Elephas maximus indicus: one gene and its partners. The main gene of each other region encodes a partner of the protein of the gene in region 2 in a complex. Links are inferred from orthologs where the notes say so. Each region holds a gene or a part of one and is shown on either strand. Other genes may lie near its edges. The genes, in order: F2RL2, F2 and F2RL3.

Evidence for each region.
Region 1: the proteins of F2 (region 2) and F2RL2 are in contact, whole or in part, in a crystal structure (PDB 2PUX), measured with the Mus musculus proteins. The link is inferred for Elephas maximus indicus from reciprocal best matches to the Homo sapiens genes F2 and F2RL2. Residues at the interface, in NP_034298.1 of Mus musculus: Phe379, Gln384, Glu385, Leu386, Leu420, Arg422, Arg428, Thr429, Arg430, Tyr431, Arg433, Lys437, Ile438, Ser439, Met440, Lys467, Pro470; in NP_034300.3 of Mus musculus: Thr46, Phe47, Glu48, Glu49, Phe50, Pro51, Asp54, Ile55, Glu56.
Region 3: the proteins of F2 (region 2) and F2RL3 are in contact, whole or in part, in a crystal structure (PDB 2PV9), measured with the Mus musculus proteins. The link is inferred for Elephas maximus indicus from reciprocal best matches to the Homo sapiens genes F2 and F2RL3. Residues at the interface, in NP_034298.1 of Mus musculus: Glu385, Leu386, Leu387, Cys388, His403, Tyr407, Trp410, Asp411, Arg428, Arg453, Glu454, Asn455, Leu456, Trp501, Gly502, Asn503, Trp508, Thr510, Gln516, Arg538, Ile539, Asp559, Ala560, Cys561, Glu562, Gly563, Asp564, Val585, Ser586, Trp587; in NP_032001.2 of Mus musculus: Asp54, Lys55, Pro56, Asn57, Pro58, Arg59, Gly60, Tyr61, Pro62, Gly63, Lys64, Cys66, Asn68, Asp69, Ser70.

What each region holds. Positions count from the first base shown.
Region 1 is NC_064820.1:81,271,986-81,282,188, forward strand, and holds the start of F2RL2 (proteinase-activated receptor 3), read right to left. Parts: upstream 5,473-10,203; 5' UTR 5,298-5,472; coding exon 5,234-5,297; intron 1,112-5,233; coding exon 39-1,111; 3' UTR 1-38. Other genes in the region: ras GTPase-activating-like protein IQGAP2, read left to right, coding at 8,806-8,896. UniProt on the Homo sapiens protein: Receptor for activated thrombin coupled to G proteins that stimulate phosphoinositide hydrolysis.
Region 2 is NC_064825.1:102,163,450-102,173,652, forward strand, and holds the start of F2 (prothrombin), read left to right. Parts: upstream 1-4,477; coding exon 4,478-4,556; intron 4,557-4,925; coding exon 4,926-5,089; intron 5,090-5,732; coding exon 5,733-5,757; intron 5,758-5,990; coding exon 5,991-6,041; intron 6,042-8,199; coding exon 8,200-8,305; intron 8,306-8,385; coding exon 8,386-8,522; intron 8,523-10,203. UniProt on the Homo sapiens protein: Thrombin, which cleaves bonds after Arg and Lys, converts fibrinogen to fibrin and activates factors V, VII, VIII, XIII, and, in complex with thrombomodulin, protein C. Functions in blood homeostasis, inflammation and wound healing.
Region 3 is NC_064821.1:37,066,312-37,076,514, reverse strand, and holds F2RL3 (proteinase-activated receptor 4), read right to left. Parts: upstream 6,986-10,203; 5' UTR 6,824-6,985; coding exon 6,706-6,823; intron 6,076-6,705; coding exon 4,985-6,075; 3' UTR 4,485-4,984; downstream 1-4,484. UniProt on the Homo sapiens protein: Receptor for activated thrombin or trypsin coupled to G proteins that stimulate phosphoinositide hydrolysis. May play a role in platelets activation.

The DNA of each region.
Region 1 (10,203 bases), on a different chromosome or scaffold from region 2:
CAAGAATGTATGTTTTCACACATGGCTTTCCTTGTTCTCTAAGATGATTTCAGGACTGTAAGGTAAGCAGTGGAGTGATCTGTGATTTTTGACATGAGAAAATACAGGAATGGATCTAGGCAGCTATTCAGGCTACCCAGGCACAAAGCTATGAGATAGATAAAGTATAAGCCATCAGTGGTGTTGTAGTAGTAGTTAGCATGGTGAATAATGAGTATAATATTGCTTGGAGCAAAGCAAATGGTAAAAATCACAAGGATGAGGAGACTTGCCTTCACTGACCGTAACCACCTGTGATCAAAAGCATTCAGCGTCCTAATGATGGCTGCATAGCAGAAAATGATGACCACAAATGGAATGAAGAATCCAAAGAATGCCAAGGAAGTGAAGTAGTAGATTTGGAAGGGAGATGAAGACTCGCATATATTGTGGACATCGTGGCAGGTGGTGATATCCGGCCGGACAAGATAGTACTCCTGCTTAAGGATGAAAAATGGCAGCATGTATAAGAAAACAGTTGCCCACACCAATCCACATGTTAGTAAGGTATAGGTGCGCTTGGGTAGCCCCCGGTAAGTGAAAGGGTGGACAATAGCCAGGTAGCGGCTAATGCTGATACAGGCGAGCAGCAGAATAGAGCAGTACATGTTGCCATAGAAGATGATAATGGTGGCCCGGCACATGACCTCTCCAAACACCCAGTTGTTCCCGTTGAGATGGTAAGCTATCTTAAAGGGCAGTGTGATACAAAAAAGAAAATCCGCAATGGCCAGGTTGGTGTAGAAGATGGCCATACTGATGGATCTGGTCCTGAAGATGAGCATCCATAGGGTCACTGCATTGGCTGGCACACCAACCATGAACACCAGGGTGTAGATGGTGGGTATCACTTTGGTGCTTAAGGAGCTGCTCAGGTACCCCATGGTAACATTATTCACGTGGAGATTTGAAACACTTTCTTCAGGACACTTAGTTTTTATAGGTACAGTGGCTCCTGTCCAGCCTTCTATGGCAGAAAAAGGAAACTCTTCAAAAGAATTTTCGGGAACGCCGCGAAAGGTCTTAATAGGTAAAGTTGGCTCTGCCAAGTTGTCTGCATCATTTTCCATGCCTGTAATTGAAACAAGTATTAGCATGTGATTTCCTGCAGAACCATGCCTACAGTTCAGGAGAAAATAAAACCAAGTATCTTATCCGACATAATTTCTGTAGATCTAGAATTTAGGGTCATTTTTATTTTTAAAAAACTTTTATAGGTCAGACAATGAACAGTGTATATAGCCTAACACCATGCTAACTGTGCAGGAGCTGTTAAAAACTAGATGATTAGTCCTTGCAAGTAAGGAGTTTATAGTATGATGGGGAAGACAAAAATAGCACGCCAGACCGTTATAGACCAATATCATACTGATGACGAACTCTGTAGGAATTCAGGCAGTAGTTAACAGATTCAAGTGAGCAGAGTGTCCCAAGGAAAAGATGAACCTGAGCAAAAGTGAGCAAGGGCCATGAAGATGAAACTTAATAGATTAATAATATTCTGGTAGGTGATGTATGGGCAAAGACATAGGGTGAGTTGACATGAGATTTGGGAATGTCAGATAATTTGATTCAGCAAATGTTCATTGCATACTTATGTACCAGTGGTATAAAGTTTTGATAAATTCCATCCCTATCTTTAAGTAACTTTCAAGCTAGCATACAGGTTCATAATGCATTGTCTTATGGGAGATTGTCCTGGATTATCTGGATTATGGTCCTAGGGTAATCACAGGGGTCCTGATAAGAAGGAGCCAGGAAAGTCAAAGTCAGAGAGATTTGAAGATGTTACACTGCAGGCTTTGAAGGTGGAAGAAGGGACTATGAGCAAAGGAAGCTGAAAAAGTCAAGAAAACAGATTCTTCTCTAGAGCTTCCAGAAGTAACACAGCCCTGCCAATACCTTGATTTTAGGACTTCTGACCTCCAGAATTGTAAGATAATAAACCAGTATTGCTTTAAGCCACTAAGTTTATGGTAATTTGTTGTAGCAACAATAGGAAACTAATACACTCATGATTTGACTTGTGTTTAAGATGACTTTGGGTGACAGTGTAAAGAATAGTAAGGCTAGAGGCAAGGGGGCCTGATTTAGAGGCTACTGTAATTGTCCAAACTAAAGATGATGAGTTACTAAACGAAAGCAGTGGTGGTAGAAAGGAGGGGATGAACACAAGCGACTCGGTGGTAGAGGCTCAAAGGGACTTGTCATCTGATGGACCGTGGGGGCCAGTGAGGGAGAGGCAGGAGGCAAAAGGGACTCATGATTTCTACTCCAGATGACTTGGAGGAGGATGCCATTAACTGAGGTGGGGGGACAAGGGAGCAAGACTGTGGAGAAGTTAAATCTCAGGTTTGAATTGTGGGTGGTGTAGCAGTGTATTGAATTGTCCAGCAGGGTTGGAAGACTAAGTGTAGAGTCCAAAATTCCAGGAGCCCAAATTAGAGGTATGAGTTTATTAGTCTGCATAGAAATTGTAGTTTGATTTAGTAGAAGTAGTTGTGATGGTCTAGGGGGAGATGTGAGAAGAAAGAATCTAAAGGTAAACTTTAGGGAAAATGCCTGATTTTAAGGGGAAAGGTGACAAAGAAATATCAGAAGGTGAAATCAACATGGTGCCTTAGACGATTAAAAAAAAAAAACAAAAAAACCCAGTGCTGTCGAGTCAATTCCGACTCATAGCGACCCTATAGGACAGAGTAGAACTGCCCCACAGAGTTTCCAAGGAGCACCTGGCAGATTTGAACTGCCAACCCTTTGGTTAGCAGCCGTAGCACTTAACCACTACGCCACCAGGGTTTTCTTAGAAGATAGGAATGAATTTTAAAAGCAGAGAAACACAGCAACCACATACTTAAGTATTTGGCATTACATTGCATGTACATATTAATAATCCTAATTTCTGAAAAGGCAATTAAACAAGCTTGAATGGTCAAACCTGTTTATCACTATACAATTTTTCCAGTAATTAATCTTTGACATGTGTAGGAAATTCCGGTTACTGGTGTGTCAGTTCCGATTCATGGCGACCCCAGTGTGTGTCAGAGTAGAACTGTGCTCCGTAGGGCTTTTAATGGCTGATTTTTCAGAAGTAGACCACCACACCTTCCTTCCAAGGTGCCTCTGAGTGGACTTTCGGTTACCCAAGCGCAGCAGCCATTTGCACCACCCAGGAGACCCCGTATAGAAAATAGGTTCTCCCAAATTTCTAATGTTACCTTAGGATGGACTTTGATCCCAAATATAACCTTGTACTTATTAATTAAAGTTGTCAGTGTTCTGCCAGTTAAGTCTTTTCACATGACCTCTGAATTCCTACTTGTTGAATATTTGTGGTTACCTGTTTCTCTCATACAGATTAGTTTCTCTTCCTGCTTTAATCTCTAGGAGTTAGCTTCAGGGTGAAATTGAAGCCTTTCTCACAACCCTGAGATTACACAACTGAATTCAGATGTAAAATAGAGACGGAGTGTTGCCCCAACAAGTGAGCACATGTGGGTGATCCATCCATCAGTGTCACCTAAGGAAGGGTAGCGCGATTGAAGAAGAGGGAAGAAAAATGTGGAAGGTGGCATTCTTCTGTGCAGCCTTTGAAGGCATCTTGTGTAAGACATCTGTTCAGCCACAGAAATCCCTCCATTCATTTTTGTATTTTGGAAGCATTCTTGCACCAACATCACCCACAGAGAGTGCTTTTAAAGATGGACATGAAGCTGGAAAATAATGGATTAAGAACATGCTGTACAAGTAATTTCCCTTCAGGGTTTGATAAGAGAGCTACTGAAACCAAGTGTTTGTTAGTTTTCAGAAATTCCTGTGATTGAGCAAGACATACATAAAAGCATATCCTAAACAGTCACTGTGTTTGTGAAAAGCTGACTGGATTCCATTTTCTGCCAGAATTCCAGATCTAGTTCAGCTTAAATAAATCTTTTGTTCCTTAGAGCCCCGTTTTCCTGAAAATAGCACTCATTGTTAAATTTTATTTAAAAAAAAAAAGTTATTTGAATTCTTTATGCAGGTTTCGATTTGGCGTAATGTGTCTGAAATGTTTTTCTGAGAAAAGGAGAGAGTCCTAATCTAAAATTCAGCTACTAGGTAATGATTCCTTCCTTCAATGCTTCATATTTTCCCCCCACCCCAGTTGAAGAAGGCACATTTACTTGTATTTACTTACTTTGCCCCTTTTAAGTTCCCTTCTTTTCAATTTCACCAAAGCCCACTAGCATCCTGAAGGAACCACCTCCACAAAACTCTGTTCTTTTCCAATTTTGCTGCTCCAAGTTTGGCTCATCCATGCCCAGAAAAAGCACTTACTTATCCTATTCTTAGACTCCACACGTGCTGCTGCTAGCCTCCCATCCTCTTAGAGCTTTCCTGTAACCTCTGGGATGCAGTCTATCAATTGCAGCAACGTTCCCTTACTAGAGTGGTGGTGGTGATTTTCTTGTTGTGGTCTTCCCTCACCACCCCCTTCCAACTCCTAACAATGTTGACTGGAGATGACCTAATGGTAGAAGGTTATGGATACAGATCAATCACAGATTTGCTAATTTTGGAGCGAGCAGGTTACAGGCTAACGTTGTGATAGGTGAAATAGGAGATTTATGAACACTTGAATAATAGCCTTTGGGAGATCTTATTTCTAAAACTAAAAATTCATATATGAGGATGAGAGAACTTGCTCCTACCCCTGAAAGTCAAAAAGGTATTTCATTTAAGAAACACTAATTTATTCTTAGCATCATAGCATCACTGGCATTTGAAAGCAGATATTTTACTCTGTCTAGCAGTATTCCTGCGCACACACACACCCCCTTTTTGTTTATACCAGAAGGTGTAAACATAGGACTTTTCTTTTTATCCCTTGAAAAAGTACTATCTTGGCTGAATCAGAGGAAATTGTTAAAAATCCAAAAACTTCTCACAAAGAACATTGACTTTTGACTTAATTGTAGATATTTAAAATCTCACATATGGCATAAATTTTGAAATATCAGCAGAGAACACTTAGTGACAAGGTCTGAGTAGAGTGAACAAGCTCTAGATACTTCCGTGACTTCACTGTTTAATTCAAATCAAGCTCTGCCTTTTCAGTTTGCAGTTTGTGTGAAATGTAAAGAAAATCAGGTTCACTTGAGTCAGCGTGTGACAAACCAAGACTCCCATGCTACCCCGTAAGGAAGGGGCTTACCGCTTTGACAGAGAGTGGGCGGCAGAAGCAGTAGTCCAGCAGCTGCAAAGATGAGAGCCTTCATTTTGATGACCTGAGTCCGAGTTCTCAAACGTTATCAGATGTAAAAACTTACGGAACACAGCTGGAAGCACGGGTGCGCATCAGTTCCGTGTGCTAGCAGCAAATGGAAATTTGTCATCTCAGTAGAAGTTTGCTCTCCTGTGCTCTGCAGGCAGGAAACTCGCCTTGTCTTCTGCAGGGAAAGGGCGTGACATCACTGATTTTCAGTATGCCGTGACTCAGGCTGAGCTTCTGGCCAACAGGAGCACGCTACATGATCCTCAAGAAAGTCTTTTAACTCTTACTCATCCCTAATAATCCTCTTGAATAGGCTGTAATTCCCATGCAGCGTAGTTATGTGCATTTAAAGAAAGCAGAACGTACACAGTCCTTTCCAGAAGGTAGCTGAAAATCGATGCTAACGGTTTTGAATCTGCCCCATCTCTCATTTTTACCCATTTTTAAAGCCCAGCTTCTACTTCTTAATTGAGCTGTCAGAAATTATCCTTTCTTTTATCCTCCCAGCTATTTCAGACGTTAAATCTTGAGCTCATTACATAATTATAAATTAAGCCAATAGTGGAAGACAAACATTTGTAAGACGTTAAAAGTAATTGGGCGCTTGGTGACTTTGAAAATTCTCCATTGATGTCACATTGGCCTGAATTTGTCATCAGTGCTTGACCAGAACTTGACTTTGTGAAGTTTTTTTGTTTTGTTTGGGGAGGGCTTTGTTTTATTTGTTTGCCACTGCTCAGTGTGTTCTGAGCCTCTTGTTCTGTAGGGCCAGGTAACCGAGGGGCCCCAAGCAACACTATTTGATGAAACTAAAATCATAAAACAACACTGAAGTACAGAGGACTCCCTTTATTCCGTGAGTCTCCAGTAAGCTTCTATGCGTGCTTATGTTCTAGGTCACTCAAAAAGAAAACTGTGTTATAATAGGTTTTCCTATAGCTAGTGACGTTTAAGATTAAATTTTAAGCTAGAGAACCCAACAGCCTGTTGCTTATAAAATGCCGCCAGAGCCAGAAAATGCAAATTCCACGTGAGCCTTAAAGGCTGAGGGATAGAGCTAGGAAATTGATCTGTGTGAACTTTAAATTAAATCTCATCAAACCAAGATTTTTATAATCCGAGGTCAGCATTTAATACTTCAACTACATAATGTATGCTAACACAAACTGAGAAAGAATGCTCTATTGAAGAAATTATAACAAAAGAAAAAAACAAAATATTGAGTACATTTTCCTTAGTTGAAACTTTTCTAGGAATCATCTAAATTCAGGAATTTATTATTTGATTCACACATGGCCTAGTTTTTGTCCATTTGATCCATCTATAATTCGCATGTGGAACCTGGTTGTTTAGCTGGATATAGAGGTGTGGCCATCCATAAAAATAAAATTATTTTCAGTTTCTGGTAATGCAATTTGAAAAGGAGATCTTACTTTGATAAAATTCAGTTTTCGCTCTTGGTTTTCTATTTAGCTCGACCTTCAGTTTGGAGCCCTGGTGGTGCAGTGGTTAAGAACTTAGCTGCTAACCAAAATATCAACAGTTCGAATCCACCAGCCGCTCCTTGGAAATCCTGTGAGGCAGTTCTACTCTGCCTTATAGGGTCACTATGAGTTGAAATTGGCTCACTGGCAGCGGGTTAGGGGTTTTTTTTTTGTTTCTTGTTTTGATATCTTCAGTTTAACATGTCACAATTTAAACTGTTGACCTAAATTCATTTGATTTACAAAGTCCCTCTTGAGCTTGGCTTGTAAAACCAATGTTTTAAAGGGGAATTGTCATTTTCTTCTCATCTGGATAGTTTGTGCTGGTGCTTCTTCTGCAGTGATAAGTTATGAAGGAAGATGGGTAAATACCCTCCAAAAAAATAAGACAGACGTAAATAAACTTGTATAGAGCTTAGTTTTAGAACAATAGAATGAGAAATATTGAGTTGTCTTTGGGCTTGGAAACACAAAATAAAAGAGTCCCTCCTCTGTCGTCCATTCATTCCTCCTTTAGCCTTTGGCTTCCCATCTTATTTCCTGTTTGAACTTTCCCCATCCATTCTTAAAAGAAATGGAACATCTTACTAATAGCTGATAGGTCCCATGTGGCAGTTCTGGCTAGAAATGATTGTGGAAGCAGGGCCAAGCCTCTCTTCCCCCAGTGGTCTCCGACAGCCTGGATGTTGCAAGAAGAAATAACAACAATTGTTTTGTCTCATTTTCAGAGCCCTCTTCACACATTAGCCTCTGAGGGAAGTGGGGTTAGAAGCCTGCTGGAGGAGCTGGAGAATGTCATATCTCCTTCCTGCCCCCATCCCTCTTGAGTCCTACATGATAGAGTTGGTTTTCCAGAGTACGCTATGGCTCCAACCCCAGAGTCACTACCTCCCACGCATCGCTATCTTGCTTTATGATTTGGGACATGACACTCCTACATATAAGCAAATATTCCCATTTTTTAAGTGAAATGTCTCAACCTCCCTAAAAATATTTAATTTCTACCTCCTGATAGCAAAATTTACTTGCAGTCTTGGACAAGGTTTTGTAAAGCATAGCTGCTAGCTGGAAGCTCCATTTAATAAATTATATATTAGCATCGCATTTGTAGCAGGATCATCAGAATCAACCCAAAGGCAGAACTGTAAGATAATTCAGTACATTTTAATTGCTCTTATCACTCCTCTCGGAAGCCAGCCTTATCATTGGTCTTTGCTTCTCCTGCAACTCAGCACTCCTATCATAAATTAATCCCTTCTTAGCTATTTCTAGATATGTCTACAGCTAGTATTGGCATGGATCACATTGTATAACAATTATTTCTTGACGACATCTGTCTCTTTTACTAGACTGTTAACTCCTTGAGGGCAATCACTGTGGCTTTGTTTCTTTGTTTTTGTCTCTGTGTTCTATAAATGTCAAGTATCACTGTGTTTCTGTCAAATTTACCATACCCCATGACACCGAGGGGCACCTTGGCACGTAGTTTGGGAACCAGTTAGAGTGACTGGGGGAAGGAAGGGCGTATTTAACTAGAGCAGTAGGAGGCGATTGAGTTGAGGCCTGAAAGATAAGATAAACTAGTCAGAGGAGTGTGAGGTGAAGAGGGGGCGGGGGTATGTAAAGCCAGATCATTAGAGCCTCACAGTTGATGGCAGGAGAGCCTGTGCTTCATTCTAACTGCAGTGGAAAGCCTTTGGAGGATTGTAAGCAGAGGACTGACTGATGAGATACACTTTTATAGATTGTCTGGTTCTCTGTAGAAGACCGCTGTCATAGAAGGCAAACTCGGAAGCAACAACAGCAGATAGGGGACCAGCTGTCTGAGAGGTGGCAGTGGAGAAGTGAGAAGTGGTCAGACTGGGTCTTTTTCATAAGTAGCTTTTACAGTATGTAACAGTGCTTGGTAGCTGCTAAATAAAACTTTGTGGAAGCTAATATAAAATGGCTCTTGATAAGCAGTTATTCATTCTGTTTCATCATCATTCATCCTTCTTTCTTTCTTTTACTCTATGACAATGTTTCCAGGACCCTGAGTCTGCTTCCAAAGTTCTTTGGCTGGATGAGATACAGCAAGCAGTCGATGAGGCCAACATGGACAAGGAGCAAGCAGAAAAATGTGAGCACTTGCCTTCTTTCACTGCTGAACTTGCCTTTTTTTAATTTAGCTAGATGCTTGAATCATGTAATTTTTAATTTCTGAAGTGATTTGGACCCTCTTACCAAATTTTAGTTCTTGAATGTATATTTATACAAAAATAAAATTAATTGTACTGTGTTCAGAGATTAGATTCTATCTCTGATATTTCAGAATGCGGCTGAACAAAATCCAGGGAACAAAACAATGATTCTTAAGCTCTTAAATTTCATAACTGAATCGAATCCTTTTTTATCTTGATCCTTAAGAAACTAGCCCATTTCTGCTTCATGAATGCCTATTCTCTCTTTTGTGTCTTCCATGATTCTATTTTCTAGGAGGTATGGTATGAAAATTTCTGTGACAATTCAAAGTAGCTTCTAAATGGTACAGTAACACTCAAAGTATACTAATAACCTACACAAATTAAAATAAGGTTCTTAAAAATATAGTTAATTAACCTGTCCATTCATGGCATGATTTAGAATCTGTTAGGTTGTGTCAGGTCATAGGATGCTGTTGAGATGCCTTAGTCTTGCTTCATAGATGTGCTTTTAAACCCTGGAGGCATCTGTGAGAAACATCTGGTTTTTATTTCCTTAGCCTAGAAAAATATCTGGATTTCTCCAGCCTGAACTTTATACCCTTAGGAACTTCGAAGTCTTCCCTTTTCTAGCAGTCTAGTTCTTAAGGAAAAAAAAAATTAAAATTGAGACACACGTATAAGAGATTTAAGTTTAAATGTAAAAGTGAAGGGAAGCCATAGTCTGAAGAAATAATTTAAGAAATTAGTTTGTAGTTGTTTTTGTTGTTAGTTGCTGTCTAGTTAATTCCAACTCATGGCTACCTCATGTGCGCAGAGTCGAACTGCTCTGCGTAGACATTCAAATAGCCTAAAATGGTTAATGGTTTTTCTCTTAGAGATTAAACTAATTTAAGAAGGTATTTTACTCCTTCTATTCTGGATTCTTCTAATGTTTGGCCTGCAAATGTTACATGGATTATTTACTACATTGGGACTCATGGACTGTTGACTATAAAAAGCAAGAGGCTTTTCTCAAATATGTGCAATTTTTTATTGCACGTTTGCACATTCAGAATCCTCCCTTTCCCTCTGACCTGTGCCTCGGAGAGTTTATGTTCTTTCTTCTACAATATATAACAAGAAAAAAAGTTGCTTTGAAGTTCAAAGCCATCTACATTCTGACATTAAGATGAGAATTTTCTGGTTTTTCAACAAAGTAATCTTAATTTTAAAAACATTTTTCATCTTTTTATGAAGACTTGAA
Region 2 (10,203 bases):
AATCGTTTAGGATGTTGCTGGGGTGACTTGGAATAGGGTGGTAGCAGTGGAAATGGAGAGATATGGGATCATTAATCCAGCAGATCTTCACTGAGCACCTCCAACATGCCAGGCACTGTTCTAGTTGCCAGGGAGACAACAGTGATAATAAAGTCTCTGCTTTCGTGGAGTTTATATTCGAGTGAGGGAAGACAGACAATAAACAAGTACACGTCACAAAAACCAAACCCATTGCCATCGAGTTGGTTCTACTCAGCAACCCTATAGGACAGAGTAGAACTGCCCATAGGGTTTCCAAGGAGCAGTGGGTGGATTCAAACTGCTGACCTTTTGTTTAGCAGCTGTAGCTCTTAGCCACTCTGCCACCAGGGCTCCAGATATATGTCAGGTGAGATAAACACAGTGAAAAAGAGTAATTCATGGGGAGGGGATAGGAATGGTCTGGAAGACCCTGAGTAACAGGACTTGAGCAGAGACCTGAATAATGGAGGGAGCGAACTGTGATGGTATCTGAGGGAGGAGGTGGATTCCAGCCGGAGAGACCAGAAAGGACAAAGTCCCTGTGTGTTTGAGCAAGGAATGGTGATGGAGGCAGAGTGTGGAAGGAGGTGGAGACAGAGACGGGCCCATATATACCCTCTTTCACCCTTTAGATGGGTAAGTTCTCTGGGAGGTAGAAGTGACGGATTCAAAGACGGAGGGGGATAGATCCGACTCCTGGTTTCTGGCTTAGGCAATCAAATGGTAATAAGGCAGGTAACACTGCAGGGGGATCCAGGTCAATTATGATTTGGGTTTTAAGTGTCTGCAGGAGATATCCCAATTGAGCAGTTGGAAATAGTTACAAACCTGTGGAGAAAAGCCTGGGTTAGAGGAAGAGGATCTGGGAGTTACTGGCCAATAGGTGGTCACTGAAGCTGTGGGAGTGGGGGAAGGTACAGAGAGAAGAGACGAGGGCCCAGGACCAAGCACTGCAGTAGCCCAACCCTTCAGGTTCGATGAGACAAGGAAGACTTGTCAAAGGAGACTAAAACTCAGCATCCAATAAAACGAAAACCCTGCAAAGTCTGGATCACAAAGCTAAAGAGAGAGTGTTTCAACAAGGAGGAAGTGGTCAACAGTGTCTGTTGACTGTGGAGGGTGGTGAAATGTGTAGGAGCCACTGATGAGCCAGGTGAGAGCAGTCAAAAGCCAGACTGGTTTGCTTTGAGGAGGAGTGGAGGTGAGAGAGGCAGGAAGAACATACATTCTTGCTTCGTCCTTATGCTGTCTTGCAAAATAGATGCCGTGATCCTCATTTTGGGGATGAGGATACTAAGTTTCAGCGGGGGTAAGTAACATGTCAAGACCACAAAACGAATAAAAGGCAAAGCCAGATTCAAATCTGGGTGGTTTTCTGGCACTTTCACAGCATTTGATCATAATGTCATAAGCAGCCATGTCTCCCATTTTGCCATTGACATTAACCCAGCTGTCCACCAGTCTGAATAACTTCTTGGTAATGCATAATTCTGGGACTGTCCAGGAGGAGGGAGGGCCAGGAAATGGTGGCAGTGTGTGGGGAGAAACACCACAGCATCCAAAGCCTGAAAAAGAGTTGCTACGATTAGATTTTAACCAACCAACCTTGTTTCTTGGGACTTGTGTGAGGCCTGGTAGGTCCTGTTCTTTTCCAGTTCTTACCTCAGCTTGGGTGATGGCTCAGCAGTGTCTGCCCAGAACTGTTAGGTATCCTGGGGGTACACTTTTCACTTGATAGGGAACTGCGCCTACCTCCCGCCTCAGGCCCTCAAGAGAAGAGGTGCATATGTGTTTTGTCCTCCCTGTTACCACCCCTGCCTCTTGCCACTTCTCCCTCTGCAGGTTGACTCAGCACTGGCCCAAGCTGATCATCAGGGAAAGGGGGCCATCCAAGGAACACCTGTCTTGAGAAGGATGAAGCCATACTTCTCTCTGTTCTCTACTTCTCAGGAGCCCTGCTCCCTTTCTCACTCAGTATTTGATTTTTGAATAAATGAGTGATACAAGATCTTTTCACCATTCCACTCCAAAAAAAAAAAAAAAAAAAGTAGGCTCAATATCATTAGTCAACAGGGAATACAAATTAAAATCAGTGAAATATGCTGATACATCCATCAGAATGGTTAATATTAAATGGACAGAGAATATAGAGTGTCAGCAAGGATATGAAGCAACTGGAACTTTTTAAATGTGGGAAAGTAAACTGGTACAACCACTTAGGAAGACTACTTGTAATAGCTACTTAAGCAAAATATATACCTACTTTATGACCCAGCGAATCTGCTCCTGAGCATATATACTCAAAGAAGTGCTTATATACACCAAAAGTCTTGTTCAAGAATATTCATAGCAGCACTGTTCATAATAGCTCAAAACTGGAAACTAATCCAAATGTCCACCAATGGGTGAATGGATAAATAAAACGAGTAAGAACGTCACGCAATGAAGGAACAAGCTATTGATCCAGACAACACGAATGAATCTCAGAAATATACTGAACAAAAAAAAGCTAGATGCAATGAGTATATACTATAGGTTTCCATTTACATGAAGTTCAAATATAGGCAAAACTTACTTATGGTGATAGCGGTTAGAATAGTAGTTATATTGGGGGTACTGAATGAGATGAAGGAGTCTGTTTTGGGGCTGGGAATATTCTCTGTCAATCTGGGTGTTGGTTACATGGGTGTGTATCTAAAAATCTGAGTTATACACTTAGGATTTGTGAACATTACTGTATGTAAATTATGCCTCAATTGAAATATATATACATATATATCCACACAGTCTTATGCGCTGTTGAGTCAATTTTGGACTCATAGTGGCCCCGTGTGACATAGTAGAACTGCCCCATAGGTATTCTAGGCTGTAGTCTTTACGGAAGCAGATCTCCAGGTCTTTCTCTGCAGAGCCACTGGGCAGGTTCAAACTGTCAGCCATTTCATTAGTGGCTGAGCGCTTTACCATTGTGCCACCAGGGCTCTCTCTCTCTCTCTCTCTCTATATATATATATATATACACACAGACAGACATACACACACACACACAAAATATAAGAACTTTGGCCACCCAGGAATTAAGCTGATTCCTGGGAGCCTGGTCTGCAGGGCTCTGCCAACCCTCTCTGTTACAAACACTGCACCAGGCCCCTGCCCGTGATCTTGCCAGGTGAACATGACTGCAGTCCAGACCCCAAACAGCCAGGCCCAAAGGATAGGCAAGGCAAGGCCCTGTGCTTCCCTCTGTTCTCGCTCTTTGTCCTTCTGTCCTAATTAGACCCAGGACTAATATTTATCTTGCAGACTGCACACAGGAAATGGGGGAGGGACAGGGAGCAGGGCTGGGCCCAGGGGCAGTATAGGACCTGCAGCCACTCTAGGCTTGGACCAGGTAAGACAGGCAGGGAGAGAGGGAGGGGCCCTACCCCAGAGGCCCTGGGATTTGGGCTGGCTTCTGTTCCGGGCAGGCAGCAGGTCCTGGGAGATGAAAGAAAATAGACCAAAGGCCCAAGAGGCCCTGGACCTGCTCCTCCCAGGTAACCACCACATACAAACACACATCCACAGCACCCCAGATGGGAAAAAGGGGAAATGGAACCTTCCATCAGTGGTTGAGAGTCCGGGGCCCCTGTTGGGTGTCCCTGCCCCCAGCACATCCCAGAAAGAGGTGGACAGCTTGTGTCTGGCCACATTGTGGCCACACCCTTGTCTCCGGCCACATTGTGGCCACACCCTTGTCTCCATTTTCTTATATCTGCATATTGTGATTCCACAAACCTCTCCGTCAGTTTACATACATTTATCTACCAATTATTTATGTATTGACATACATTTACCAATTATTAACAAAAACCAAATCTGTCGCTGTCAAGTCAATTCTGACTCATGGCTACCACACGTGTGTCAGAGTAGAGCTGTGCCCCATAGGGTTTTCCATGGCTATGATCTCTCAGAAGTAGATAGCCAGACCTTTCTTCCTGGGAGCCAATGGGTGGATTCGAACCCCCAATCTTTTGTTTAGTGGCCAAGCACAAACCATTTGCACCACCTAGGGACCTTTACATTTATAATCTCCTTTACTCCTCACACCAAGTTCTATTACCATCCCCATTTTACAGATGAGAAAACTGAGGCATATAGAGACTAAAGCAATCATTACCATGTATTAGCTTCAGGAAGATCTTGGCCCAAGTTCACCTCATGCCCCAGGGAGAGGAGGAGTGGGGGTTGGTGGTTACAGTGACCTTTCCTTTGTGGCTTCCTCTCAGACTGTCCATCTCTGGTCCTAGGAGAACGTTTTCACCAGATGGCGGGGGTGGGCAGGTGAACTATCTATCTGCTTGTCCCTACGGCCCTGAACCCATGACCTCTCCTTCTCGGCCAATTTCTTCATGCTAGTTCAACATTAACCCAGAGGGGTCAGGATGAGCCTTCAGAGTCCCAGAGCAGACACACTATGGCGCACGTCCGAGGCCCGCGCCTGCCTGGCTGCCTGGCCCTAGCTGCCCTGTTCAGCCTTGCGCACAGCCAGCATGGTAAGGGGCGGCTTGGAAGCTAGGACAGGCTGGAAGACTGGGCCATGGGCCGTGGTTGGGGTCTACTGGCCTGACAGAGAACACGGCTGACCCCCAGGAGGGTCTCAGCCCAGGGTATCCAGCTTAGGGAAGCAGCTAGGTCCTCAGGGCTGGAGGACGCTGGCTGCTTCTCTCCTGCAATATGGGGAGTGCGCTGGAAGTGGCCAATGTAAATAGGGGACCTGGTGGGCTACATTTGGCTGCTTTCTGGCTTCCGCCGGCATGCCAGCCACCCCCTTCTGGATGCCAGCATGGCTTGCTTCCTGGCCCCACCATGGCCAAGGCCGCCTGGCTCTCTGAGGCCGCTGTCGCACGACCCTTCTACCGCAGTGTTCCTGGCCCCTCAGCAAGCACTGTCGATGCTCCAGCGGGTCCGCCGTGCCAACAGCGGCTTCCTGGAGGAGATGCGCAAAGGTAACCTGGAGCGAGAGTGCGTGGAGGAGCAGTGCAGCTATGAGGAGGCTTTCGAGGCCCTGGAGTCTCCCAGTGACACGGTGAGGACCAAGAACATCGGAACTCATTAACTACTGCTAAGTTAACTTCAACTCTGATCCCCATTCCACTGGGCTGGCAAGGTGATCAACCTCAGCCATTTTTGGAGGTCCCTGTACTTGGCTATGCTGAAGTGCCAGGGTCTGTTGAGGCTGCCTGACATGCAGAGGCCTCCTTGGTCTCCAGACAGCTGCCTATGTTGGGATCTCTACAGTCCCTTGCCCTGACCCATGTGATCTCTTCAATTTCAGCCTTTCTGTGCCACCCTTGGGCTATGGGAATCCTATGAGGCCAGGAGCCCTGGGCTTAGGCCTCAGCGTTCCTGGAACTCTGGCAGCCTTTCCCTTCCTTGGGTGTCTGCCAGGGCCCGCAGCTAAGGACCCATGCTCCTCTCTCCTCTCACCTACCCCAGCTCAGGGGACCCCTTTTCAATTGTGGTGAGTGGGAGAGAGTGGACTCCCCTCTCCTCAAATACCCTTTTCTTTAATGGGCTTGGGCTTTTGGTCACCAATCTCCCCAGAGCCTGACTCTGTGTGACTGAGCTAAGGGAAGGGAAAGTCATTGGAGAAGACAGAAGTTTACTATAATAAAAATAAGTAAATCAAAGGCTCTCGGCTCAGTCTCACTGCAGTCCTTGTTTTTCAGGAAGCATTCTGGGTCAAGTACACAGGTGAGCATCGAGAAGGATCTGCTCCTGGAAGGGAGGCCTGGAGACTCGAGCTAGGGAATGTTCTACCTCACAGAAATATCTGGTTCACCAGTCATCCATCCATACACTCACTCAGCCTTCTTTCTTTCTATCTGTTCATTTCTCTGCTTCTGAGTATTACCCCCCCCCCACCCTTTATTCCAGTCCATCCTGTCCCTACTCTGCTTCCAAAGGTGTTTCTGGGTCTTTTGCAGCTTGTGAGCCAGTGAGGACACCTCGAGAAAACCTCGTGGAATGTCTGGAAGGTGAGGAAACAACAGCGTCAGGGGTGTGGGATGTGAGGGGTAAGCAGTCCCAGGAGAGAGGGGCCTGAACCTGGAAGAGGAGGAGGGTAGGGGTGGGTTAGGGGATGTGGCCCAGTAGGGGCAGCCTCTTACATTGACATTGCCTTTCTTTTTTTTTTTTAATTGAACTTTAGATGAAGGTTTACAGAACACTAGTTTCTCATCAAACAGTACACACATTGTTGTACGACATTAGTTAACAACCCCATGACATGTCAACACTCTCCCTTCTCAACCCTGGGCTCCCTATTACCAGCTTTCCTGTTCTCTCCTGCCTTCCAGTCCCTGCCCAGGGTTGGTGTGCCCCTTTAGTCATGTTTTCTTCCCTGGGGCTGTTCAATCTTTGGCTGAAGGGTGAACCTCGGGAGTGACCTCATTACTGAGACGAAAGGGTGTCTGGGGGCCATACTCTCAGGGTTTCTCCAGTTGCTGTCAGGCCAGCAAGTCTGGTCTTTCTTTTTGTGTTAGAATTTTGTTCTACATTTTTCTCCAGCTCTGTCCCAGACCCTCTATTATGATCCCTGTCAGAGCAGTCAGTGGTGGTAGCCAGGCACCATCTAGTTGTACTGGACTCAGTCTGGTGGAGGCCATGGTAGATATGGTCCATTATGACATTGCCTTTCTGTCCCTATGGTCTAGCCTGTGTCTCTGCATCTCTAGCCCCCAGCTTCATGTTTGGCAGTCAATAAGATGTTTAATGTTGGAGGAACAAATGAATGAATGAATGCATGATGAATTAATGTTTAAGGCCTCATTCACGTTTGCCTGACTCTGCTCACCCCAGTCTTGCCCGCTGTTTCCAGAGCACTGCTCCTATGTTGTCACGCTCATTCTCCAAATCCCTTAGTGGCTCCCTATTGCTCCCAGGAAGTGTGGCGAGCTTTGTGCTTTCTGGCCTGAACTTCCCCTTCTAGCCTCACCTTCCACTGCACCAATCATGAACTCAAACCTTCAGCTACTCTGACAGCGAGAACTTCTTGACACATATCAAGGCGTTTCTCCTTCCTGGCACTTGCTCACATTGTCACTTTCTCCTGGAGCACTCATCAATGGCTATTGAAAGCCTCTCTATCCTCCAAGGGCTAATTCAAGTGCCATCCCATTCACTAAGCCTTCAGGGAGCCTTCTGTCTCCTTCATAGCATTTTAAATATACCTTTAGTATGACAGGGGCCCTGGTGGTGCAGTGGTTAAGAGCTACAGCTGCTAACGAAAAGGTCAGCCGTTCGAATCCATCAGCCAATCCTTGGAAACTGTATGGGGATGTTCTACTCTGTCCTCTGGGTCGCTATCAGTTGGAATCGACTCAGCGGCAATGGGTTTTTGGTTGGTTTTGGTATGACAATGGTCCCCACTACATGGAACACTTTAATCGCTGGCCGTGTTTTCATTAGTTAAATCATTCATTCGACAAACATTTAACTAGGCCCCTGCTATGTGCCAGACACTGTGTTGGGTGCTGGAGAGTCTAAGAGAGTCAGACACAGTCTTTGCCTTCAAGGAGTACACAGTCTCAAAGGAAAGCAAAAATACAAATCGTCAAGGTGATTGCTAGAAAAGTGCTGTTCAAGGTGCCAGAAGAACACAGGAGGGGCTTCCGGTTTGCTGGCAGAATTGGGGACAGGTCCCAGAGGAAGTACAGTTCACCTGGCCTTGTGGAATGCATTGATGAACTCTGCATTCCAGGCAGAGTAAATAGCATGTGCAAAGGCCCTGAGGTATGAGTGAGCCTAGTGTGCTCAGGAGTTAGGAGCCAAGGCACCAGGATAAATAGACCAGGGCCAGATCACAGAAGGACCTTGTTCACTTTTTCATCCTCTCAGACATGAGGAGCCACTGAATTTAAAGATGCAGAAAATTTGACTGTGACTGTCTTATTCATCACTATGTCCTCAGTACCTGGCATGGTGCCTGGCCCATGGTGGGTGCTCACTGACTATTTGGCGACTCTTGTTAACTGACTAGAGAACTGCTGGGTAAACCAGAGGTGCTGAGTAAATGCTGGTCAAGCACTGTGGTCCTGAGAGAGCTCGGAGAGGGTAGACAGACAGAGCTTTGCTGGGAGAGAGAGGGACAAATCCTCAGGATCCCAATACTGACCTGGCCTGGGGCCTCTGCAGGGAACTGCGCTGTGGGTCTGGGCACAAACTACCGTGGGAACGTGAGCTTCACCCGGTCAGGCATCGAGTGCCAGCTCTGGAGGAGTCGCTATCCACATAAACCTGAGTGAGTGATGGGCAGAGAGCAAGGAGACACTGGGGCATGGCTTCCCGCTGGGGTCCCAAGCTGAGCTTTTCCTATTCCAGAATCAACTTCACCACCTACCACGAGGCCTACCTGAAGGAGAATTTCTGCCGCAACCCAGATAGCAGCACTACAGGGCCCTGGTGCTACACTACAGACCCCACCGTGCGGAGGGAAGAGTGCAGCATCCCTGTGTGTGGTGAGCTGGGGCAGTAAGGCAATCCACGGCCAAGGTCAAGGCCAAGGCCAAGGCCAAGGCCAAGAGGTTTCTATGGGGCCTGGCAGCTGGGGGCAGGACCTGAAACCCCAGCTACCTTAGAAGGGGTTAGTCATCTAAAACGTATTTGGGCCCGTCAGTCAGTGGAGCTGGGAGACCTGAGGGCGTTGACTTCCCACGCTCCCCTTGCCCTCCCCAGCCTTGGCTTCCTTATGAGCCATCTGTGGCTTGTTGCAGACATGCTTTTCTTCCTGCACAGGCACTTTCCCTCCAGGAATCCCTCCCAGACCATTTCAGTCCACATGTCCTTTTCTGAACACCACAGAGCAAGACTCATTCATTTCAGAACTGTGCGAGTCCATCATTATTATTTCCCGTGGTTTATTAGTTAGCTCAGCCCCTGGGTGGTTGGAGGTTCAAGTCCACCCAGAGGCATCTTTGGGAGAAAGGCCTGGCGATCTACTTTCAAAATAATCGACCACTGAGAGCTCTATGGAGCACAGTTCTACTTTGACATGCATGGGCTCACTGTGAGCCGGATTTGATTCGACAGCCCCCCCCCTTTTTTTTTTTTCTGTCTTAAATCAGTTAGGTCGGTCCCTGGGTGGTGCAAAGGGTTAATGTGCTTGACTGCAAACTAAAAGTTTGGAGGTTTGAGTCTACCCAAGATATCTCTGAAGAAAGGCCTGGTGTGATCTGCTTTCAAAAATCAGACATTGAAAATCCTATGGAGCACAGTTCTACAGTGATACGCATGGGGTCACCATGAGTCAGAGTTCACTCAACGGCAACTGAAACTAGAATCAGCTACAGCCATAATAATGCTGCAAAACCAACCATAAGATCTCAGGGGCGTACAACAATAAGCATTTATTTCTCGAGTGTAAAAAGGCTGGCTGGGGCGGCTCCTTTGATACCAGCTGGACTTGCTCTGTGGGCTTGACTGATGTAGGACGTGTCTGGCTGGGTGGCTCTGCTTTAGACCATGGGTCCTGCTGAGCTCAGCTTCTTGCTGCAGGCTGGGCCCAGGCCTGCTCCACATGTGTTTACGGTGATGGCAGAAGCAAAAGTCACTGAGCAGAAACACACGGTGTCTCTCAAGGCCTAGGCTCAGAACCGGCACAGTCACTTCTGTCCACATTCCATTGGCCAGAGAAAGTCAATGATCAAGGCCACAGCCAACAGGTGGAGAAGTACACCCTGCCTCTGCGTGTAAAGTCACAGGGGTACAGACAGGGGTAAAGAATTAGAGCCAGTCCCTCAATCTAGCCCACATAGGTTGACACTATTTGCCCTTCAAACATCCTTATGGGGCCTTGACCTTGGGATTGGTCTTACAGTCATCAATTGTCATAATAAAAATGGCTACCATTTCCCCAGCCCTCCCCCTCCGCATGATATGTATGTTGCAGGCATGCTGAAATTGACCTACTGCCCATGTAGATAACCTCAGTCAATCCCAGCAATCTTTCTTCTGTGCCCCTACATAAACACAGAGTTCTTCTTAACCCAGCACTCCAGGCAGTCACTGCCAATAGATTCAAAATGACCCAGGAGGGAAATCTGTTTTCTATTCTGGCTTATTATGGGTCAGACTCTTTAATGGTTATGCTGTATATTCTGTTTAATCCTCTCAACAACCCTGCAAAGATGAAATTACCAA
Region 3 (10,203 bases), on a different chromosome or scaffold from region 2:
CTTCCTCCTCTGGCGGGGGGTGGAGGCGGCGCCTGGAGGAGTCCCTCCGGGGCCACAGAGGAGAGGGCGGCGATTCCGCGTTGTCAGTGCGCCCGCGACTGCGGCGCCTGCGAGGACCCAGTGTGCGCCTACGACGGCTTCGTCTACGCCGGCCACTGCGCCCTTGGTGAGGATCATCACCACCCTCCTCACCCACCGGTTCCCGCCTGCGTCGCCCCTCCTATCCACCACCGCACCCTCCCCCTCCTCCATCGCCGCCTCCTCTGTCATCGCTCCCTCCTCCTCCATCACAGCCCCCTCCTCTCCCACCACCCCTTCCTCTCCATCGCAGCCCCCTCCTCCGTCACAGCCCCCTCCTTCCGATTTCTGTCCCTTCGTGAACCCCTCACCCCCATCTTGTGACCTCTTACCTCCCATCACTGCTACTCTGGGCCAGCTATCTCTTCCCCCACCCACCTCCAGGTCTTTGGGGAGTTATCACCCAGATCCCCACCCCCAACTCTAAGTCCACCTTCCTTACAACCAACTCCTATAGCACCTATGACTATGACCCAGTCCTCCCCGGGGTGGGGCGCACTTGCAGCAGGCCAAGAGGCTGGGCACAGCCAGTCTCTAGCCGTGGACTGGGACCCTGAGGAGGAGGACAGGTGAGAGCTGGCCGCATCCATCCCTCACCCCCTGCTCTGGACCCCTGGCAGGAGTGGGGAATGACTCAAATGGAGGGGTCAGGCTTTGAATTTCTGGGCATAGAGGGGGATCCTGCCCTTGACCAAGCCCATGGTGTGCAGAGTGAGGGGTCAACTCCAGGAGAGATCCACCCCTGGGCTTGGGGCCCCAAGGGAAGGGTAGAGAAGGGGCTGCAGGTGGTCTGGGGAGCCCTGTGGGGTCAGGCTGGGAGGGGACATCCTGGCAGACTTCCTGGAGGAGGTGAGTCTTTGGGGCGTAAGTTACAGAAAACTGGACTCAAGAGGTTTAAGCAAAAGGTTGATTTATCAGCTCAGATTTGTGCGAAGTCCAGGGGGGAGTGAGGCTCAGGCTCAGTCCTGGTCAGGTGAGCGTTTCTTTCAGGCAGGTTCTCTCACATCAATCTTGGTGGCAAAGACAGTTTTTTATTCCACTCAGCAAACCCAACAGGAAGAACGCTTTCCCCCAAATCCCCAAGGGTCAGCGGTGTGCCATCCTGCCCCAGGCACTGGGTTTAGTTCATGGCCATTAATTATTGATGGGGCTGGGTTTAGGGTTGTCATTGTTCCAACTCATGACGACCCCATGTGTTACAGAGTAGATCCGCTCCATACGGTCTTCAAGGCTGTAATCTTTACAGAAGCAGATCACCAGACCTTTCTTCCGGGGTGCTGTTGGGTGGGTTCGAACCACCGTTTAGGTTAGCAGTCGAGTGCAAACCATTTCCTCCACCCAGGGGCCTTTGGGTTTAGGGCTACTGTCTAATTATTTCTCGTTTGTCCACTCTGTTCATCTTTCCATGCCCTCTTTTGGATTAATCAAATATTTCTTAGAATTCCATTTTTTTAATTTAGCTATTGTCATTTTGGAGCCGTGCTGGCACAGTGGTTAAGTGTTGGGCTGCTGACCAAAAGGTCAGCGGTTCGAATTCACCAGCCACTCCTTGGAAATCCTGTGGGGTAGTTCTTCTCTGTCCTACAGAATCACTATGAGTTGGAATCAGCTTGATGGCAATGGGTTTATTGTCTTTTGAGCCTTGGTGGTGCAGTGGTTAAGAGCTGTGGCAAGCTACCAGTGCTAACCAAAAGGTCAGCAGTTGGAATCCACCAGCCGCTCCCTGGAAACCCTGTGGGGCAGTTCCACTCTGTACTGTATGGTCACTATGAGGTGGAATCGACTTGAGAGCAATAGGTTTGGTTTTTGGTTTTATATTGTCTTTTTAACTATACTTTTTTCCATTATGTTTCTAGTGGTCCCTCTGGGTATCAGAGCTTATTTGCCTAGTAGTGTCCTTACCAAGGAAACCCTGGTGGCATAGTGGTTAAGTGTTACAGCTGCTAACCAAAAGGTTGGCAGTTAGAATCCACCAGGTGCTCCTTGGAAACTCCATGGGGCAGTTCTACCCTGTCCTATAGGGTCGCTATGAGTCGGAATCGACTCAACGGGACTGGGTTTGGATGCTTTTTTTTTTTTGTCCTTACTAAGGAGTGGCTTCTCCTCCTTATGGTCACCTACCTGCTTGGCGCCTCATCCTGTTCTTGTCAGCCCTGAGCTGTCCCTCGGAAAGGTCCAGCAACTGTTCGGTGGGAGGTGACACCTGAGTCCAAATGAAGCTGATAAGCAGATCAGCAGAGACCTGCCTGCCCGTCAGACCCTACTTAGGGTCTCCTGGGGCCCAACCACCCTCACCCTCAACCGGAGGGACAGTGGGGGTGCTGGGGGCTTGTTGGGGGTGGGGCAGCTCCACTCTTCCCAGCTGGAGCTCCAGACCCCCCTAGCCCTGATGCTCGGGCATCTCTGTCCTTGAGCAGGCAGCTCCTGCACCCCAAATTCGCTATGGGAGAAGGGGCATTCCCTAGAAGGGCTCCTGGCCAAAGGCTTCTTTCTGAGGCAGACAGGCACCTAGCCAAATTCAGGAGACAACGTGCGTCCCTCCATCAGCAACTTTGAAATTTAACAGGCTGCCTCTTTCCACAACAGGAGGCCCAGGCCTCCTTTTGGGGCTCCTGGCCACTGAGTCCCTTAACTGGTACCTCAGAAGCCAGAAGGCTGGGTTGTCCTGGGTCACCTCCCCACCTCCGCCCTTGCCCCGAGGGTCCCTCCCCCACCCACCCCCACTCCCTTTCCCGCCCACTCCTGAAGACCCCTGAACGTTTAGCTATGGTAGCACAGAGCCTTACGGAAAAGCCCCGGGTCCAGTGTAACGTACCCTCTGCCAGCCCCGGGTCCCCCGGCCCAGGACAGGCCCTCCGCTTCGGCTCTGGAGGACCGTTCTCCTCCTGGCGCCGCGGGGTCTGACCTGCCTTACGGGAGAAGTCCCAGGCCGCCCCCAAAGCCTGCTCCTGTACTCGTCCCGAGAACGCGCGTTCTTGCGCGTGTCTGCCCCTGGCGGCGCCTTTGCGCGGGGTTCTCCGAGGTAGTTATTTCAGCCAACTCTGTTAAGCTGTTTCTCCGCCCGGGGGCGCAGCGACCCTGCCACTTACAGCCGCCCTGTCCTTCCTGCCCTTGTGGGCCCACGGGGATAGGCCCCGCGGCTGCTTCCCCGACTTTTCCCCAAAAGAACACGGAGGTTGTGGTTTAATAAAAGCTCGTTTCCACCGGAGTCACAGATGGCGACGGCCTCCTGCGGGTTATGGGGGCTCAGTCATAGACAGGGACCAGAGGGCCCCCCCGAGATGCGGAGGCTGGGTAGGGGCCCTCAGGCCTCAGCTGGAGCCGCAGCTCCCCAGCAGCCGTGGCTTCTGTGCCCAGGTCTTTAGAGCTGGGTGAGCGTGGGGTTTCTGGAAGTCACACACTTGCACCCCGAGATCACCCTAGATTCACATGCAGGTGTAGGAAATTGTACAGAGAACGTCCGGGGCACCCCTTGCCCAGTTCACCCAATTAATGAACATCTTACAAAACTCTAGTACAAGGTCACAGCCAGGATTCTGATCCACCAATCTTACACAGACTACATGTACTCGTGTGTGAGTGTGTATGAGTGTGTGTGGGAGTGTGTGTGTGTGTTTGCAAATGTGTCAGCATGAGTATGGATGAATGTGTGTAAATAAGTGTGGGAGTCCCTGGGTGGTACAAACGGTAAACACATTCAGCTACTAACTGAAAGGTTGGCAATTTGAACTTACCCAGAGGTGCTTTGGAAGAAAGGTCTAGTGACCTGCTTCTGTTAAGATTATAGCCAAGAAAACCCTATGGGGCCAAGTTCTACTCTGTAATACATGGGGTTGCCATGAAGCAGAATCTACCACATGGCAACTGGTTTAAATGAGTGTGTGTGTGTGAGACAGCTAGTGTGAGTATGAGTGTGTTTGAGTGTGTGTCCCCAGGCACCCTGACACCCTGGCTCAGGGTCACCCTGCTCACCAGCTCACACTTTCCTGGCCCCCCAAGGCTGGGCTTATTGGCAGCACAGACTCAATGGGGAGCCCAGGACGCCCCCCCCCCCAGTCCCCTCATGCTACAGTCTCTGCCCCACAGCTCCAACACAGTGCTCTAGGTGGCTCATGGTGTTGGGGTGAATGGGGGTGGGGTTTACCAGCAGACTGGAGCATTGTGGAGGGGGGTCACAGGGCTATAGGTCTGAGTACCAACCAGGCCCCCAAGAGCCCACCGCTGGCCTCACCTAGTTCTGGGGGGAGTTAACATCAAATCGAGAGGTCAAAGAGTGGTTTAGAGGAGAAGCTGGAGTCTCTAGGGCCCTGGAGACAGAGGAGGAAGAGACTGGGACCTGTATCCCCCATGACAGAGTTGATGCTTTGGGGCAGAGTCGGGGGCTCTGGGTTTTTTTTTTTGTTTCGTTCTGTTTATTGTGGTGAAAACATACACACCAGAACATCCGCCAGCACGACTTCCACATTTACAGTTCAATGACATTGATTACGTTTTTCATGTTGTGCCACCGGTTATCCTTATCCAAAACATTTCACCACCAGAGGGGCTCCGTTTTGATTGCTCAGAAGATGCCCCAAACCCTGGGCACCGCCCAAATTTGGAACCAGGGTTGCTGGGGCGCGAGCGGCTGGGGCAATTGGGGGGGAAGGGGGAGGTGGTGGCAGCCGGGACTCCCCCTGAGCAGGGTCCTGTAGAAGGTTAGGGGGCTCCCATCTCTGGAGGGGGCTTAACTGTAGTCGGTCCCACAGTCCACCTGGTCTGGAGGTCCAGAAGGGCCAGGAGTCTGGCTAGCCCGGGGGGTCCTTCTGGTCTGGAGGTTCTGCTGACTTTGGGGATCCGGCTGGTTTGGGATCCACCTAATCCGGGGTCCGGATGCCTGGGGCTCAGCATCCCATCTGCAGGTCAGTCATACCAACGAGGTAGAGCGGGTGCCGTTCCCCGCACCAACCCCTTCCCCGGAAGGCTTGGAAGTCGCGCCTGCGTTTCCAGGCGTCAGTCTGCGGAGCGCGTGGCGCACCTTTTCACGGAACTCGGCCGATACGTAGTAGTAGACGAAGGGGTCCACGCAGCTGTTGAGGGTGCTGAGCGCCAGGCTGGGCAGATAGGCGGCGTAGAGGTTGCCCCAGGCGCGCGGCCCCGGGTCCGAATAGTGCAGTAGTAGCAGCACGTTGCTGGGCGCGAAGAAGGCCAGGGCCGAGGCCAGCACGAGGGCGGCCAGGCGCAGAGCGTGATCGTAGCGCCGGCCGCCCGCCGCCAGCGCGCGCAGCGTAGCGCCGTAGCACAGCGCCATGGCCAGCAACGGCGCAAAGCAGCCAAGGAGCGCCAGGCAGGCGAAGGCGGGCCGCCAGTGCGAGAGCTGCGCGTCGAGTGGCAGCGCGTCGTGACACAGCAGATGGCCCGCGCCCGCGCCTGCCAACCAGAAGGTCTGTCGCTGCAGCGCGAGGGGCAGCGATAGCGCGGCGGCCACCAGCCAGGCGGCGGCACAGAGCCCAGTGGCCAGACACCGGCCGCGCAGGGCGCGGGCGCGTAGCGGGTGCACCACGGCCAGGTAACGGTCAAGGGCGACAGCCGCCAGCAGCAGCAGCGAGCCGTACATGTGGCCATAGAGTGCGACCGTGGCCAGGCGACAGGCGGCCTCGCCAAAGGGCCAGCGCTGACCGCGCAGGTGGTAGGTGATGCGTGGCGGCAGTGCCAGGCCCAGCAGCAGGTCGGCGGCTGCCAGATTCATGAGCAGCAGTGTGGAGGGCAGGCGCGGCGTACGTGTGGCCAGTACCCACAGCGCCAGCCCGTTGGCCGGGAGTCCGAGCGCCAAAGCTAAGGCATAGAGGGCAGGCACCAGGCGCGTTGGCACCCAGCCCAGCAGCAGCGCCTGTGAGCTGTCCGGCAGTAGCAGGGTGTCGCTGTCGTTGGAGCAGAGGCGGCCAGGGAAGCTGCGTGGGCAGGGCAGATGCGGGGCTGTCACTTCTGTGTGTCTGAACCAGGGCCCCAGCTCGCTACCTGCGGAGAGAGCGGTGTCAGCCCAGTTTCGAGGGAAGGGATGGGTGCCGAGGACAAAGGGGGCTACACCAGAGCCTGGCATCTGCCCCTCCTATCCCCTTCCTTGGGGTCTGCCCCTGGTGTCCCCTCTTGTGTCCATCTCTAGTTACTCCCTGGTGTCTGCCCTTTATGTCCCTCCCCAGACTCCTGAGCCACCTCCTTGTGTTCCCCTTGGGCCCTTTGTTGCCACCCTAGGGTCCACCCCAGATCCCTCAGCTGCCCCACTGATTTCCCCCTTCCTTCTGTCCACCTCTAGTGACCCCCTAGTATCTGCCTCTCATGTCCACCCTGGACTCCTCAACTGCCCCTGTGTCCCCCCCAGACCCCTGAGCCACTCTCTTGTGCTCCCCCTTGAATCAGTTCCCTCCCTTGCGTTGTCCCCCTCATTTGCTCCCTTGTGTTTGCTGAGGGGAGCCAACCCATGGGGGGCTACAGTCCAGGCCCCAGCTCTCAGGATGCAGATGCCCCCAGCCCCACTGGGTCAGGGCCAGGGTGGGGGATGGGGCTGAAGGGCCCCTCAATTTCCCTCTACCCAGGCCCCCTGGCTCTGGGCCCCATACCCCTTGGCTTCTCTCTGCTCCTTTCACTCACCATCGGCCCCGCTTGCGCTCTGGTCCTCAGGGGTCTCGTCGTAGATGCTGGGGGTGCGGGTGCCGCCAGCAGGGTTGAGCCCCCGCACCAGGGCCCCGAGCAGCAGGAGCCTCCGCATGTCACTGCCGACAGGCTCGGTAGTCTGGGCCCCTCGGCTTCCTGCCCGCAGACCCCCAGCCCAGCTTCCTGCCTCAGCCCCGGAGGGTGGAGAGCTGGGAGATAAACCAGGAAGACCCCTTCCTGGCCCCCACCCCAATCCTGCCTGAGGGACTCAGCTGAGGACTGGGCAAACCAAGGTCAACTCCACCCAGCTGAGGCTCCTCACAGGGCCCAGCAAGATGCGGGGGGTGGGGGGGGGTGCTGCGCTGAGCTGCTGCCCCACCTCGGCACCCCCCTCCCAAGCCAGGAAGCATCTGTGGTCCAAGTGGTCGCTTCCTGCTGTTCGCTCGCTCTGCAGCCCCAGTTCTCGTGACAGCCATGCGTCAGGGGCCCTTCCTGAAGCCTCTCCTCCCCCCATCCCCAGGCTGGAGGTCATCGAGCAGAGGGACACCCACGACACCCAGTCCTCTGTGGGACCTCACTCCTGTCCAGCACCTTCCCCTGGACATGGGAGAAAGGGCACTGCAGGGGTAAGAGGCACCTGCTGAGCCTGGGGTCTGCTGAGGAGAATGAAGAGGGGCTTAGTCCTTAGCCAGAGTTACTGACACTGACCACGTGCTGCCCTGGGGTCTGAGGGGACCCTGGCTCTTGAAGCCCCAGCCCCAGCCTCAGTTCGGTGATGTGGTTCACAGCCAGACCCCAACCCAAGGGAGGCCCTTCCTCCTCTCAGCCCTCCACGCCCCCCACCCATCCTGGCGGCCAGGCCCCTGTGGGATGTAACATCCATTCTCTGGTGGGGGGGGCACCCTCTGTGCTGATGAAGAAATAGAGGCTTCGACGGTAGGCACCCTTTCTTTCTCTAGTCCACGCCCCTCCCGGCCTGGGAGAGCCCTGTGGTCGGGGCCAGGCCACAGGGAAGAACTGGGGGCAGGAGGGCCAGCCTGTGGTGGTGGGGGTCTGGGGTTAGAGGGAGCCGTTTCATCTCAGGGCAGCCCTAATCTAGTCACACACCCGGGGACTTGTTGACCAGCCAGGAAGTGATGAGGCAGAGTCCTGGGCAGCGTCTAGTGTGGCAATCACCCATGTCAGCCCAGGTGGAGATAGGAGGGCCCTGCCCCAGCTCCGGGAAAATCCAAGGCCAGAGAGGTCCCTGGGCCCAGGGAGCTGTTTGTATCACACTAAGGACACACTTAGCCCACACTCACATCTTACAGACACATGTAACCAAAGACATCCACAACTGGGATCCCTGCCACCTTCATTGTAGGTGATGGGGGAAGTCAGTGTTCCCACCCTTTGACTCAGGGGCCCCAGATCCGGGAACTTACCCTGGATGTCCCAGGGAAGATGTTTGTATAGGACATTTCTGTAGCACAAAGTGGGGTGCACAGTCCCCCTCCCCGTTGTGGATGACACTGTGTCATGGGAGGGACCCCAGACATGACAGGGAAGGTACAGAGACACTGGGAACCCAGGGTCTCACTTGAGTGACGTGCGATGTCCAGGACCACACCCTGGGACGCTGGGCGCAGGGTGAGGCTGCCTGGGGAGAGGACTTGGGCTTTACTTCTCACCGTGAGCCATTTGTGCTGCTGTGATACTGTTCATGTGAGTGACCTAGGACTGCTGGACAAAGTACCACATGCTGGGGGGCTTAAAAGAGAAGAAATCTAAAGCACTCAGCTGCTCACCAAAAAGTTGGTGGTTCTGAATCCAACAGCCGCTCTGTGGGAGAAGGATGTGACAGTCTGCTTCCGTAAAGATTACAGCCTTGGAAACCCTATGGGGGCAGTTCTACTCTGTCTCTTCGGGTCATTATGAGTTGCAATCAACTCAACTGTAATGAGTTTGGGTTTTTTGTTTTGTTTTAGGAAGCTGTTATTGCCTTACCATAAGTGGGTCCTAAATCTCCAGATACTTGCCTTCAGCTAATGGCTGGGAAAATATCAAAACACACACACACACATGATTCTGTTTGACACATCCCTGCCTTAAAAATTCTATGCTAAAGAAGGATAGTTTATAGTTTGCCTGGATATTAGAACAGCTTTCCCTGGCAGCTGCAAATAGGTAACTATTTTTTGTTAAAGCTGTCAGTCACGATTCATTAACTGTATTAAGAAATGTGAAGAGGTCAATTAGGAGAATGCTATATTGCTCAAGGAGTTTTATGCAGTACAGAGAAGGAAGGATGGAATTATCAGTTCAACAACCTTACCAAAAAAAAAAAAAAATTTGTATTTAACTTTCTGATCAAAAATATGAAGCAGAGATGGTACAGGTAATGATGATGGTAGTATGATAATAATGATATAATAATACCATTATAATGATATTAAAATATGATTCAATAATAATAACAATAATATTTGAAAAATAACAAGAGAAGTCAGCAATGGGAAAAACTTAAGGCATAACAAATAAGTCATTCCTAAGACTGTAGGTGTCTTAGTTATCTAGTGCTGTGTAACAGAAATACCACAAGTGGATGGCTTTAACAAAGACAAATTTGTTTTTTCACAATCTAGTGGGTATAGTAGGTTACAAGTCCATATTTTGGGTGTCAGCTCTAGAGGAGGGCTTTCTCTCTCTGTCGGCTCTGGAGGAAGGTCCTTGGTCCTTGTCCTCTATCCTTCCCTGGTTGAGGAGCTTCTGAGGCCCAGGGACCTCGTGTCCAAGGGACACGCTCTGCTCCTGGTACTGCTTCCTTGGTGGTCCCCACCTCTCCGCTTGCTTCCCTTTCCTTTTATCTCTCGAGAGATAAAAGGTGGTGCAGGCCACACTCCAGGGCAACTTCCTTTACCTTGGATCAGGGAGGTGACCTGAGTAAGGGTGGTGTTACAATCCCACCCTAATCCTTTCAACATAAAATTACAATCAGAAAATAGAGGAGAACCACAGAATACTGGGAATTATGGCCTAACCAATTTGACACATATTTGGGGGGGGACACAATTCAATCCATGACAGTAGGCTACAATAACGTTTCAAAAATTTAAAGGTACTATCAGAACATCAATTGCAAATCTGATACATAAAGAAAGTGTACATCACTATAGCCTACAGGATTTATGAAAACACAGATTACTGGGCCTTACCTCCAGTCTCTCACTCAGTAGGTGTCTCAGTCATCTAGTGCTGCTGTAATAGAAATACCACAAGTGAGTGGCTTTAACAAAGAGAAATTTATTCTCACAGTCTAGTAGGCAAGAAGTCTGAATTCAGGGTGCCAGCTCCAGAGGAAGGCTTTCCCTCTCTGTCGGCTCTGGAGGAAAATCCTTTGCATCAAGCTTTCCTTGGTCTAGGAGCTTCTCTGTGCAGGCACCCTGGGTCCAAAAGACACATTCTTCTTCTGGCACTGCTTTCTTGGTGGTAAGAGGTCCCCCGTCTCTATGCTCA